2 linked regions of the Mytilus edulis genome follow. The protein of the gene in region 1 binds, or shares a complex with, the protein of each later gene. Links are inferred from orthologs where the notes say so. Each region holds a gene or a part of one and is shown in the gene's direction. Other genes may lie near its edges. The genes, in order: 2-oxoisovalerate dehydrogenase subunit alpha, mitochondrial-like; 2-oxoisovalerate dehydrogenase subunit beta, mitochondrial-like.

Region 1 (7,341 bases):
TAGGAAGATGTGGTATGAGTGCCAATGAGACAACTCTCCATCCAAGTAACAATTTATAAAAGTAAACCATGTTTTTTACAAGAGAGATAGCTTGAGATTTCTCTGGGTAGCCTGCATTTTGTTTGAAGAAAACCACAATATTAAATTATTGCCGTCTTCCTCAAGAACATAAATGACATCTTGTACGGAATTTCCCGACTGACTTTGACAAAGTATTGGCCTCAGAATAATCATATAAAGAACAATTCTTAATAAAAATTTACTATTTAATATTAACTTCAGGAAAAAAATGTACGGTGACACCATCTTTGTTTTGAAATTCTGAAATAATTTTCTAAAATCTATCTTCTCGTATTATATTCTGCAATTCTTTCATTTAGTTTATCTTCTAGTCACAAACTGATGGTTGTTCCTGTATAATCCGCACACAATCATGTTGTCATTTATTCACAATCTGTAGCTTGAGAAAAAACTCGGTGACCTATCATTTGGATTATATTTTTGAATCACAATATATACTTCGCCTTGGCAAAGTATGAACACATTCTATCATCTTTAATTCATTATCCCATACCACCTTAAATATGTCATGCATACCACTTAAAATTTTGATTTTCTTTCACCCACTGATTTTTTGTTGTTGTGAAATTACCATACAACATATCAAGTGAGTTTTTTTTTAAAGACCATACTATTTTAGTTTCATTTGTAGTCAGTCATAAGGGAGGCAGTCAAAAGCTTTTCACAATCCACCAGGATAGCTGCAAGGTATTTATTTTGGTATAGGGCTAATTTCCATTCTTCAATCACTCTTAATAAAATTGACCGACATCAAATGCTTGATATAAAAGCTGCAAAAAATAGATTGAAAATATTATCAAAGTACTGTCGTACTTATTGTACTTCAGTGACATAAAAAAAAAAAGAGTAGAAATGGCCGGTAACACATAAGTTTTACCGGTCTATAAAAACCTTTTTCTACCGTATTTTTTTGTGAATAGGTACAACTTGAGCTTCCTTATTATGACCAGGGACTGTTTAAAAGGATGGTCGAAAAATACCAAAGGGACAGTCAAACTCATAGATCGAAAACAAACTGACAACGGCATGAATAAAAAAGAAAAAGACAAACAGACAAGACACAACATAGAAAAATAAAGCCTAAGCAACATGAACCCCACCAAAAACCTGGTAGTGATCTCAGGTACTACGGAAGGGTAGGCAGATACAAGCAGATCATGCAGTCCAAATGTGACACCTGTCGCGTTGCACATGTTATTACAAATCCGGTAAATAGTCTAATTCGGTTAGTCACATTCGTGAAAAGGGAAGGAGATTGTACGGGTATATTCCATAAAATATATTTTTGAAGTTTCATTCTTTACCGTTTCAATTTTTGATAAGTTCTTAACGTATTTTCGATGATTTAACTATTTGTCATCATTTCAAAGACCATTTTTCTATGATCATGCTTTTTATGGAAAAAGTAATTTGCCGTTTTCCAAGACATGTGAATAATTAAATTTGACAGTAAATTAATTTTTCGAAGCAAATCCTTGCAGGTTACTTCATATTAGATATATTGTCTTGTAAGACTCTGGCTTTGACTTTAAAATATGCCGAGTCAGAATCCTATGATGAGATGATTTTAGAGACTGAATACAAACGAGAAGCATACATAATCAGCGAATATAGCTACTCTACTCAGAATCATCGAAGACTGGAAAACGGCACTTGATCAAAATAAGTTTATTGGCTCAATTCTAATGGATCTATCTAAGGCTTTCGATTGTCTCCCTCACGATCTTCTACTGCTTAAGCTTGAGGCATATGGTCTTTCGACTTCCTCATTAAAACTCATTAAAAATTACTTATCTAACAGGAAACAATGTGTTCGAGTTGGCTCTAGTCTGAGCAATTGGCAAAACATATATAAAGGAGTACCACAAGGTTCTATTCTAGGTCCTATACTGTTTAACATCTTCATTAATGACATATTTCACTTCACCACAAACAGTTCATTTTACAATTATGCTGATGACAACACATTATCTTATGCAAATAGAGATATAAACACCGTTATCTCCATACTTGAAAAAGACAGTTTGGCTCTGATAGAATGGTTTTCTTCCAATCAAATGAAGGCAAACCCTGAAAAATTTCAAGCTTTGGCAATTGGCAAAACAACAATGGGCAAAAACATTACATTTGATCTAGCAGGTAACAAAATAAAATGTGAAAAAGAGGTCAAACTATTAGGCATCACCATTGACTTTGAACTAAATTTCAACACGCATATATCAAACATCTGCAAAAAAGCATCCAGACAACTAAATGTTTTAAAAAGACTTGGCAAATACTTAAACAAACTTGGAAAACTAACAATATATCACTCCTTTATTATGTCAAACTTTAATTTCTGCTCATTGTCCTGGCATTTCTGCAGCGAGGCCAACACTACAAAAATTGAAAAAGTACAAGAAAGAGCACTTCGCTTCATTTACCAGGATCACAATAGCACATATGAAGACTTACTTTTAAAATCAAAAATGCCATCACTTAAAGTAAGACGCCTAAGAACCATGGCAATAGAGGTCTTTAGAACAGTCAATCATGAAAACCCAATGTACCTCCATGATCTTATAAAGATTAAAAAAACAAAATATTCTTTCAGATACCAAAATTTAGCTGAAATACCTGACGTAAGAACAACAAGGTATGGCTTGAAATCTTTCAGATATTCTGCTGCCAAACTATGGAATGAGTTGCCAAACCACTTTAGAACTGAAACATCTTTTACCCAATTCAAGAGTCTAATAAACTCATGGAATGGCAACTCATGCCATTGCAATGCATGTGCTTAGTTTTATTTATTTTATGTTACAGCTTGAAAATAATAGTGCTGCTTTTTGTGAATGTTTGCTTAGCTTTTTATAATTTATGAATGCTGTGCTTTATTTTTTATGTTTGCTTTTAGTGCTTATTCTTATGCATGTATAGAATATAGTATTTAAATAGTGTAGCCTAAATGTGCATGAAATGTATGTTCTATGTCTTTTATGTTTTAATATTTGTATTGTGTATGTTTGTTATGTAAATGTATGCATTTGTCGGTTATAAAAGCTCAGAGAGCTTATGTTTATTTGTTATGTAACATGCCGACTATAAATAAAGCTTTGAATATTAAGTGCCTTACAGTGATCTACATTAGTTTCATAATATGTATAACGTGACGGTACCCAAATTGCACCTATTTTGACAGTTTTTTCACCTACGTTTTTTTATGATAAAGACAAAAATTTCCATTCTGTGTTTATTTTGTAACCGTATCCTTCTTTATTATAGAAGTACATCAATTTCATTTTTAATCCATATGGAATCAAAGAAAAATTGGTCTAAACTGACCTCCAAACCATCAATGATTCTGAAATGAGGAGTACCCAAATTGCATCCATGCTTAAATTCGCACTGTCAAAATTCTAATAACAGAGCTTTTGTTTAATTTCTTCAAATATTTTGAACAATTGGATATTAGTCCATGCTTACTCTTTATTTTTTTTTCAAATGGATACTTGTAACATATTGTATTTGATCATTTTAAAAAGATGACGTTTTGATGACGTCGCATGGCGACGTTTCAGTACAAATTTTTAGTTTTTTAGTAAACACTTCACCTGTTGATAAATACTGTGAACGTTTTGTGCATATCTAAATAGTTTTACCTATGTTGAAAGATGTGCATAGTATCAGATCATAAAAATACAAATTGTTTACGGTCTCTAGGAAATCTTGTTAGATTATTTTTACTATTTTGGCTTAATAGGTGCAATTTGGGTACTCGGTGCAATTTGGGTACCGTTACGTTAAAACTTTTATATTGATTTTGGAACATTCAAATACGATAAGATAAGATAAGGTACGAAATAAAATTCAAATTCAAATTTAAAATATCTATTGAGATTGATTAATTGTATTATATGTCTCTGATTTGCATAAGGTCGGAGTGACGTCCATTCTATATATTCAACACAGATCATATTTCAATGATTAAGATTTTTAAAATAACAGATTACGCCGTTTGTCTGAAACTAGTAATCCCTTTTCGACGTTCTCTAGAGTTTTCCATTAAACAATTGTTTACTATGTAGTTGCTTTGAAGGACAAAATATTTTATAGAAGAAAACGAAATGGCTTTGCTTAGACGTCTTCTGTCTCCCAGAATAACACAGATAATAGGCTTTCAAGCTAAGCAACTGTCAACGTCTTCCAAATGCCAAAATGTGGTTCGTGTTACTTTGTTTTTTATTGGGTTCTTTTTGTATAATTTTGTATTTTTGTATTTTTTTTTTTGTATTTTTTTTTTATATATTGACATTTCTCCGCACAAACTACTAAGATCTACTAATGCCTCATGTTTGTCTTCTCAAAGTGAAGATACACTTACCGGGTGCACTTGAGTCATTTTCAACATAGTATTCATTGAATAATAATACATTGCTACTATTTTGTTGAGTGTATTTTCTGAGTTATATTATTTTATTTTATTATTTTTATAACACTTGTTACATATCTTTACTGTGTGTGTATTGCATATGTTATTGTTTATAAAAATATTGTCTGTATCATATGCCCTCCTGGGGCCCTAATTTGGTAAATAAAAATATTCTATTCTATTCTATTCTGTACATTAGTCGTCATGCAGTGCATTTACACAGGAATCCGGGTCCGTTCGCCCAAATTCACTTTTACGATCGCACCCTGTGAAAGTGTGAATAATTAATAGTGTCATGTTGATAGTTCGCATACCTGCCAACTGACATTATTTGTGGGGTATTTCCCCCATGGAGGCTCCAAAATGGAAATTTTGAAAGAGCAATTTTGTCCACAATTTTTAGGTACGGAAAGTGATTTTTTTAAAATCAACTGATCTAAGAAAACTTAACCTCATTTTAAAGGCATTGTGAAGACATTTTCAAAACACTTTTATCAATACACATAATAACAACGGAGAAATAGCAAATTTTCAAAATGGAAATTTTTTACTATTCTGGAAAAACTGTTTCCTCTCTTTAAAAAATAATAAAATATATTTTTTTTTAATCATTTGGGTTATAGTTTTGTTTATATTGCTTCTTTTACATCTTGTTAGTCAATTTTAATCCTCCATATTAAGTTTTTTGGTTAAAATAAAAGCATAAAGCATGAAAATGTCAACCACTCTCATGAAATTCTATCGTTCAAAGTCACATAACATGACGATAACTTTATATATTCCTTTTTTCAGAGCATCAGTTGGTATATTGAAAATGTAAAGTAAAACTTATAAACATTTGAATGTAAAGAAACAAAATATAAATATGAATATTACTCTTTATATATACAAATGTATATGTTTAATTGTGTGTGTGTATAAAAAAGAAGATGTGGTATGATTGCCAATGAGACAACTCTCCACAAGAGACCAAATGACACAGAAATTAATAACTATAGGTCACCGTACGGCCTTCAACAATGAGCAAAGCCCATACTGCAAAGTCAGCTATAAAAGGCTCCGAAATGACAAATGTAAAACAATTCAAACGAGAAAACTAACGGCTTAATTAATGTCCAAAAAATGAACGAAAAACAAATATTTAACACATCAACAAACGACAACCACTGAATTACAGGCTCCTGACTTTGGACAGGCACATACATACAGAATGTGGTGGGGTTCAACATGTTAGCGCATGCCCAATCCTTCCCCTGACCTGTCACAGTACAACATAAGAACGAACTATAAAAATCAGTTGTACCATGAGAGACAAGAATTGTTTTGAAATATGTCATGATTGTCATCTGTCTTTGTATAGTCATGATAGTTTTAGAATGTTCCCTTTTCATTAACATTCAATTTAATGAAATATTCTTATTCTTATATATAGCATGTATAGTAAATGCTTATGAATAAAAATAAACAACAAGCTTTTAACAATTATTCTACAGGACTAAAATACCTGTTGCACTGAAAAACAATGAAAATAATATAACATTATTTTTTATTCGAGAAATTTCAAACAAAATAATTATGTCAGATCACTGTAAATACTTGTACATGTATGTATAAAAGTAAAGTAAATTCATATCTGTATATCAGTTACAATATTAATACAGTGAAATCTGTAAACCAATCTCATTCAGGACTGAAGTTCAAAATGCATTGAATGTGAATAGCATTCGAAGTGAACTGCCACTACTGCATGGATTCCTATGTATGTTTTTAGTTGAACATGTTGAAAATACATATATTGATTGTTTTAAACCACATTATTCAGTATCCTTACTATCTCATGTGCAATGACAAGTGGTTGAACTATCTTTAAATTGCAATAAACTGGCTGTATAATGCAAAAAAAAACAACCTATCACCGCTGATTTCCAATCAAAACTAAACCAAAAGTTGTCCATGCAAGGGAAATAACTCTGTATACACAAAAAGGAGGCTTATTTATAAAAAATAATTTTGATATGAACACAGCTATCTAGATATATTTATTGGACCCAATTATTTAATTGATATATTAAACTTAATAAAAAAATACATTTTATGGCTGTATAAAGTTCCCTTGTATTTTTTTTAAACGAATGTAACTTTCAAACCCTTGTTTGTACCTCAAATATTTCATGTATTCCCGAAAATTATAATATACTAAATCATGTATATTCATATAATATCTATCAAAAGCAATCAGAACCTTCTGAGACTTAACAAGTTAATAGAAGGCTGTAATCGGAGGTCGCCCAAAGATTTTATATTTACACACATCTGGGAACAATTATTTAGGGTAATTTGGAGTTATCTCCCATTGGTTTGCCATACCTACAATTTTAAACAAAACAATAAAATGAACAATACACCTAATCGCTATTTATTCCATTCCGGATAAGTTTTAAAATTAAAAAGTTTAAAAATTTAAAATCCCGGTCGCTTGACCTTTTCAGGCATACAATATACATGTAATCACTTTTCCATTGTGACGTCAGATATTTTGTTTTATGACGTCAAAATTTTACAGGAACCTGTGTGATATCTTCTAATGGCGGACAAATCAGATAAGGTGTATGGCTATAAGTTTGTAAAAGTATAAACAACCAATAAACAGCATTTAAATATATTTGAAGGCCCCCTTAAAGGTTTTGAAAAACTATGAGAGAAATCTTGCACGTTAAACCCTCATGGGATTTTTGAAAAGTTGGTAGGTATGAGTTCGTCTCAAAGACTTGTAAACGAAATGCAGAAGATTCCAATTGACTATCAAACTCACAAAACACTCAGCTGTAGAAAATATTCATCTTTCATTT
Region 2 (7,120 bases), on another chromosome or scaffold:
TAAAAGTACCCATCAAAGGCATGGATTGAGAAAAATACTCATCGCCTTAAAGCTTTCATTCAGAAGAAGAAGTCCGATAAGGGTGAAACTTAATCAAACCTAGGGGAGATATGTTCCCCCTCTCCAACCAGCATGGGAGACGTGCAGTGGAAACGTGGAAGTACAGGAATTACCTCCATTATTGTGACTCGCTGTACAAGATCTACAAAAATATTCCACCTGCCCTAAAGGTGTATATATAGGGTCGACCACGATATAGCACTTATGATACAAATATCCACCGGAGTTACACAGACCTGGTAGTAAGTAATAAAAGGCCACTGTACGGCCTCCAAAAGTGAGGGAAAAAAACATATATAGTCGGCTATAAAATGCTCCGACCATACAAATTAGGGAACAAAACAAACAAAACTAACAGGATTATTGATTACAAAATAATTTACAAAAAAAAACATACACAAACGACATGAACCAACAACAACCACTGAACCCGGTGTCCTATAGCCATTCTTCCCCCATGCCAATTTTTCCGGGGGGAAAAACTGGATCGATCCAATATTTCCCCCCGGAAAAATTGGCATGATCCAACTTTTCCCCCTCAACGTTATAGGGGGAAAACGAGGATCAGGCCAATTTTTCCCCTTTGCGGCATGATGAGCTAGTTTTTCCCCCTTTATAAATTTATAAAGTCGGCTAGAAATTTTTATCCTAAAAAAAGAATATTAACTTTTTGATTAGTTTAGCGGTACCAAAGCTTCACCTTATTAATATAAATTGATAAGTATTTATATATACCATGTATACATACAAGTTATATTTATACAAACGAAGCACATTCTGATGCAGTGATCACATCCATTCTCATTCGTGAACCCTTGGTATCATTGACCTAATGAATACAACTACTTAAACCACGATTTTGACTTTACATGATAAATAATTTTTGTACCACTAGGTAAAAGTACCCATCAAAGGCATGGATTGAGAAAAATACTCATCGCCTTAAAGCTTTCATTCAGAAGAAGAAGTCCTATAAGGGTGAAACTTAATCAAACCTTTGGGGAGATATGTTCCCCCTCTCCAACCAGCATGGGAGACGTGCAGTGGAAACGTGGAAGTACAGGAATTACCTCCATTATTGTGACTCGCTGTACAAGATCTACAAAAATATTCCACCTGCCCTAAAGGTGTATATATAGGGTCGACCACGATATAGCACTTATGATACAAATATCCACCGGAGTTACACAGACCTGGTAGTAAGTAATAAAAGGCCACTGTACGGCCTCCAAAAGTGAGGGAAAAAAACATATATAGTCGGCTATAAAATGCTCCGACCATACAAATTAGGGAACAAAACAAACAAAACTAACAGGATTATTGATTACAAAATAATTTACAAAAAAAAACATACACAAACGACATGAACCAACAACAACCACTGAACCCGGTGTCCTATAGCCATTCTTCCCCCATGCCAATTTTTCCGGGGGGAAAAACTGGATCGATCCAATATTTCCCCCCGGAAAAATTGGCATGATCCAACTTTTCCCCCTCAACGTTATAGGGGGAAAACGAGGATCAGGCCAATTTTTCCCCTTTGCGGCATGATGAGCTAGTTTTTCCCCCTTTATAAATTTATAAAGTCGGCTAGAAATTATTATCCTAAAAAAAGAATATTAACTTTTTGATTAGTTTAGCGGTACCAATGCTTCACCGTATTAATATAAATTGATAAGTATTTATATATACCATGTATACATACAAGTTATATTTATACAAACGAAGCACATTCTGATGCAGTGATCACATCCATTCTCATTCGTGAACCCTTGGTATCATTGACCTAATGAATACAACTACTTAAACCACGATTTTGACTTTACATGATAAATAATTTTTGTACCACAAGGTAAAAGTACCCATCAAAGGCATGGATTGAGAAAAATACTCATCGCCTTAAAGCTTTCATTCAGAAGAAGTCCTATAAGGGTGAAACTTAATCAAACCTTTGGGGAGATATGTTCCCCCTCTCCAACCCCCGGGGGAAAAACTGGCATGGGGGAAGAATGGCTATATAACACCGGCTCAAAGATTACAAAGATATGCCAAATAATCCATCGCCCTGTAAGATTAATCGTTGGGGCCATAATAAATAATAGGTTTGTTTGCCCAAACGCTAACTTCCCAGAAAAAAGCTGCCTACTCAAATTCTTTTACTGTCCTGATTTGAAGAAGTTTTTTTTAATCAAATAGACATGAAGACTAATAAACATCTGATACTTCAATTTCTTTTTTTGAAAAAAAAAAAAGAAAATGCCTATCTACCTACCCATTGACTTAATTTTTGGTTAGAGTTTGGGCAAACCAAAATATTTTTAAGTGTGGCCTGACTATTTATTCAGCCATTTTACATTGATATATATAAATTTATGTCTATAGATGTTGTATTTGAATAAGTATTGGGTTTTTTAACCACCTTGACTGGCTATATAAAGTCCTTGCACGGTCATAATAATCCTCCTTGAACCATTTTGTGAAATATATATCATATTTTTGAAAAATCAATGACCATGATGATTGAAGATTATCATGATTATTATCTTTTTCTAGAATAAATCTCATGTTTGAAGACAAAATGATGTCATTCAAAATAAAAAAAAGACTGCAGCAATGCAAGGGAAATTTCAAGACAAGTGAAGTAAATCAAAAGGATTTTTAAGTAATCCTGTGTAAAATTGCGGGTCCGTTCGCGCCCATTCACGTTCGCACCCACTCATGTTCGCCCCCTTTCACTTTCGCACCCTACATGTTCGCACCCAAAGTCCATTCGCACCCTACATGTTCGCGCCCAACTTTAATTGGTTTTGAGTTTAATAACTTTGTAATCATGTTTTGGCAAGTATAGTATTCTTATAAGTATAATTGTTTTCGTTGTCTCAAAATAAAGTGAGACAGCATTTTTTTTTTGGTGTTGAATAAATCTTAATCATGTTTTGGATAGTGTATTGTTAAAAAAAAAAAAGATTCCTTTCTAAATAAAGTGGGATTCTGTCAACGATTTATTTTGTGTTGAATAACTCGTAATCATTTTTTGGTTAGTGTATTAATTGCTATAACTTTGTTTCATTGACTTGTTTCAAAATGAAGTGAGATTCTGACTACGTTTTTTTTGTGTGTTGAATAAATTTTATCATGTTTTGGTTATAATAGTGTATTGCTATATTTTATTGTTTCATTGTTTCAGATCAAAGGGACCAAGCTGTTAAAAACAATTATCTTTTGTGTTTTTCATTTAAAATGATCTAACATATTCAATCTTTTACTCATACCAAGCTATAAATACATTCAGTATTTACACGAAAGCAATTAAAAACAACAATCATGATTTTCCAATTATTCAACTGGTATTTGAATTAAAATTGGGCGCGAACGTGTAGAGTGCGAACGGACCTTGGGTGCAAACGTGCGGGGTGCGAACGTGCGAGGTGCGAACGTGTAGGGTGCGAAAGTATATTGGGCGCGAACGGACCTGATACCAGGGTGGAGAGGGGAAACCCTAAAACAAATGTGAAGACAGATCTACATGTATATAGATCTTTATTCGTTTGCCCAAATCATACACAATTTTGAAAGTTTCTGAAGAGTATTTTTGTGATTCTTTGCAGATTATCAAAATAAATATATTGAGCATGATAGACACTTTATAGGGATTTGATGCTTCATTTGTCATGGCAACATGCCAACAACTCTCATATTTGTTGTTTTCATTAATGTTGATCATGACAATTACTATCTATAATTATGGAGAATTATTCATTAAAAATTACCATCTGAAATGTTGCCATTTGGACTTTTACAATAACCACAGCGGTGTCCGTTTCCATTTCCATACCACTCAACGATTCCGTATGAATCCTTGGACGCCATGATAAGGATATTCAGTGCAGAAAGCTACTTTCACTTTGACAAATTATTAAAGGAAAAACGCTAAAAAAATATTTCATAGATTCCAAAAAGAAGGTTTGACAAAATAATGAACAAAAAGTAACTATGAAATCTAATCCTTAAGTGGGAAACCCCAGAAAGGGGAAATTTCTGAATAAATATTAGAGTTATCGCCCTTAAATCCACTTCCTGTGTATTTAGCTTCAGAAACAACACTATGTCCTGGAAGTTTCTGCGGTGTTTGCAGAATGCAAGGTTTTTAAAAAAGAATTTACAGACTTTTCTGTCTGTCCACAGATGTGCGTCAGTACAATATGTTCCTGACACAATCTCTGCTGCTCACGGTAACTCATTTGCTTACTCAGTAGCAATGAACTTGGAAAGGGCACCTGCTAAAATATATATCAAAAATAATTATGACATCTTGAAAATATAACAATAAAAGATACCCTTTAAAGATTACTTTAAAAATACTTGATATGGATTCTGTTTATGGCACCAAGGATGATTAAAGGTTAATACCTGCATTGACAGAAAAGTGGATAAATTTGTTGTCAATACATGGATTGAGAGGTTTTGATGCAAAGAAATGCTCACTATTTCACACTCCATTGCATGAAACAGATCCAACTTTCCAAATAATATCCAAACTGAAAGCATGGACAACAATGACCATAAGACATCACAACCTCCTCATCATGCTCATTGTTAAGAGGAACATCCACATGTACACTTTAATTTAGGATCAAAATTGCACAGTCATACAGTACACAGTCGAATGTATTAAAGGCAGCCAAGTGAACTGTACTTCTTACACGTCACATGTTACATGACCGGCTACCCCATAACCAGTGCTTCATCTATTAAATGACATTTGTCAATATAATATATTTATACTATCAAATGAAGAACAGTTTAAATATATGTCAACATCCGAGAAATACTGCTAAATATCTATTGCAAGCTTTCAGTAAGAGAAAAAAATTCTTATATGAAAATTTTCGATAACATTTATATTTGTTGTTTTACCATTGAAATTTATGGCGAAAGTGACTTGTAGACCCAAAGGGTCAGGTGTTCTAATTATTGTTTTTATATCTCACTGTATCATGTGTATTATATAATATTTTGTGAAAAACACATGCCACTATAATAAATAATTTACTTACTTACTTACATGTAGACATTGCACTAGTACATATGTATTCTACACTTACAGTGTTTAAATCACTTGACACTTGAAATACTAAGTATCTATTTCAGATTTAAATTTGCTAGCGTGAGAAGCTTTATGGTTTGAATTATCTCCTCCTAGCCTTCGCCACTATTATCTGGTCTACTGGTTTTTTTTTAGGTCAACAAGAGAATATTTCTGATGTCACAATCTGTCAGCTGTAGGACACATGCTGGAAGGATCAAAATTTGCAATTCATTTAATATTATTGGTTACTTTTAATTATTTGTTTTGGAAACATTATGTTAATGTCTATTCATCTATTATAATGCTGTATCTTTTAATCCTTTTCTTTCTCTTTTCAGGGGAGACAACTCGTATGAATTTAGTACAAGCTGTAAATAATGCTTTAGATATTGCATTATCTACAGATCCATCAGCAGGTAAGGGAGATAACTCTTCTGTCTTTATTCTTGAATAAAACTCATCTTGATTGCTCAGATCTAAAAATTTGAAAGCAAAGAAAAGTGTAACTATACATGTACTGTATACAATATTATATAAACAAAAAGAACCTTTGGTTAAAAAAAATTAAATGTTAATGCATGTATTAAATAATGACATAAGAAGAAACATCTGCATTCACCACATCATTTATGAATCTGTTAGAAAGGAATGTTCCACTAGTTGTCTAGTAAACAAAACTTTAACATGTTTAACTTCCTGATTTAATACTGAACTAACAAAATGATATTGATATTTATAGATTCTCTTCTATTAACAAAACAAGGGGAAATTATGCATTGTATAAATATAGATAAAATGTGTGTAATATGGTCAATGGCAATCATGCTGTATCAGCTAACCGTGATGATATTGATATCAATCCCAGTTACAAAGGCTTAATCATACCTTTAATTTTCATGATGTCATTGTTGCAAAAAGCAGAGTTCTTGGAATTATATTGGTGTCTAAGGTTGATATTCAAGAGATAACTGTATTGTTTTCTAAGCTCAGACTGCATCAATTGGGGATTTCATGGTCGCAAATAAAGTTTACTGGCAACACGTTAGCAGAGACAGTAAACAGATATTTGCGACCATCAAATCCCCAATTGATTCCGTCGGAGCTTAAAATACAATATTGTTATCTCCATTCTAATGAAACTGACAGAAAACAACGTTAAAACATGTATTTAAAATATGTCAAATGCCGTCTGCGTTTGCACATGCGTCCCATAACATCAATTGTCAATTGATGCCATGTAAATAAGTGACGTTATCCAATCAAAATGAACATTACAAACGGTGTTGCATTAGAATTTCTATTGACACATTTTGTTGGAGAAAGATTTTATTCTTCTCAGGGTTCTCAACAAGGTGAGTAGATCATAAGTCCTGGACTCGTGAAAACCTGTCCAGACTAATCTTTTTAAAATAAGTGAGTCCAAAGAATGGCAAAGATGCTGCATCAATATCTCATTATTTTATATCAAAAGTTTTAAAATATTCTAAATTTTATATTATTTCCTTGCATTTTTTTTTTTTTTTTTGGTCATAGAGACTGAAGTAATAAATTATGTAGTACAGTAATAAAATTTCATTTTACTGATGAACTGGTGTTGACAAAAAATGATGAGTCCCTGGACAGATTGTACTTGCCTTCAAAAATTCTTAATGTGAACATTGCTTCTGATATTAATTTGATATTTGATTTAAATCTATTTTTTTCAGTGTTGTTTGGAGAAGATGTAGCATTCGGTGGCGTATTTAGATGTAGTGTAGAATTAAAAGATAGATATGGCAAGTTTATATTTTTAGGCGAAAAAAAACATTTACTGTACAAAAATAAGATGAAATTTATTCTACAATCAAGAAATTTACCAATATGATTTTATATTAACTAAATTAAATACTAAAATCAATAAATCCTAATTTAAAGTGACCTCAAGAATCCAGAGCATTTTTCAGACATCAACCCAACAACACAAGTAGAAAA

Evidence for each region.
Region 2: the proteins of 2-oxoisovalerate dehydrogenase subunit alpha, mitochondrial-like (region 1) and 2-oxoisovalerate dehydrogenase subunit beta, mitochondrial-like are in contact, whole or in part, in a crystal structure (PDB 1V16), measured with the Homo sapiens proteins. The link is inferred for Mytilus edulis from reciprocal best matches to the Homo sapiens genes BCKDHA and BCKDHB. Residues at the interface, in NP_000700.1 of Homo sapiens: Phe155, Leu185, Gly186, Lys187, Arg189, Gln190, Gly196, Cys197, Lys198, Phe202, Val203, Thr204, Ser206, Pro208, Thr211, Pro214, Gln215, Val217, Gly218, Ala219, Tyr221, Ala222, Arg225, Gly244, Asp245, Ala248, Asn251, Phe252, Thr255, Leu256; in NP_000047.1 of Homo sapiens: Pro89, Thr90, Val92, Asp117, Arg118, Phe120, Asn121, Thr122, Pro123, Cys125, Gln127, Gly128, Ile129, Gly131, Phe132, Ile134, Gly135, Ile136, Val138, Thr139, Asp158, Gln159, Asn162, Glu163, Ala165, Tyr167, Arg168, Tyr169, Arg170, Ser171.

Annotation. Positions count from the first base shown.
Region 1 is NC_092346.1:74,984,627-74,991,967, reverse strand, and holds the start of 2-oxoisovalerate dehydrogenase subunit alpha, mitochondrial-like, read left to right. Parts: upstream 1-4,098; 5' UTR 4,099-4,187; coding exon 4,188-4,283; intron 4,284-7,020; exon of another isoform or gene 7,021-7,076; coding exon of another isoform or gene 7,077-7,097; intron 7,098-7,341. UniProt on the Homo sapiens protein: Together with BCKDHB forms the heterotetrameric E1 subunit of the mitochondrial branched-chain alpha-ketoacid dehydrogenase (BCKD) complex.
Region 2 is NC_092353.1:73,441,062-73,448,181, reverse strand, and holds the start of 2-oxoisovalerate dehydrogenase subunit beta, mitochondrial-like, read left to right. Parts: upstream 1-4,116; 5' UTR 4,117-4,165; coding exon 4,166-4,292; intron 4,293-5,487; coding exon 5,488-5,565; intron 5,566-6,855; coding exon 6,856-6,924; intron 6,925-7,120. Other genes in the region: arginyl-tRNA--protein transferase 1-like, read right to left, coding at 3,831-3,930. UniProt on the Homo sapiens protein: Together with BCKDHA forms the heterotetrameric E1 subunit of the mitochondrial branched-chain alpha-ketoacid dehydrogenase (BCKD) complex.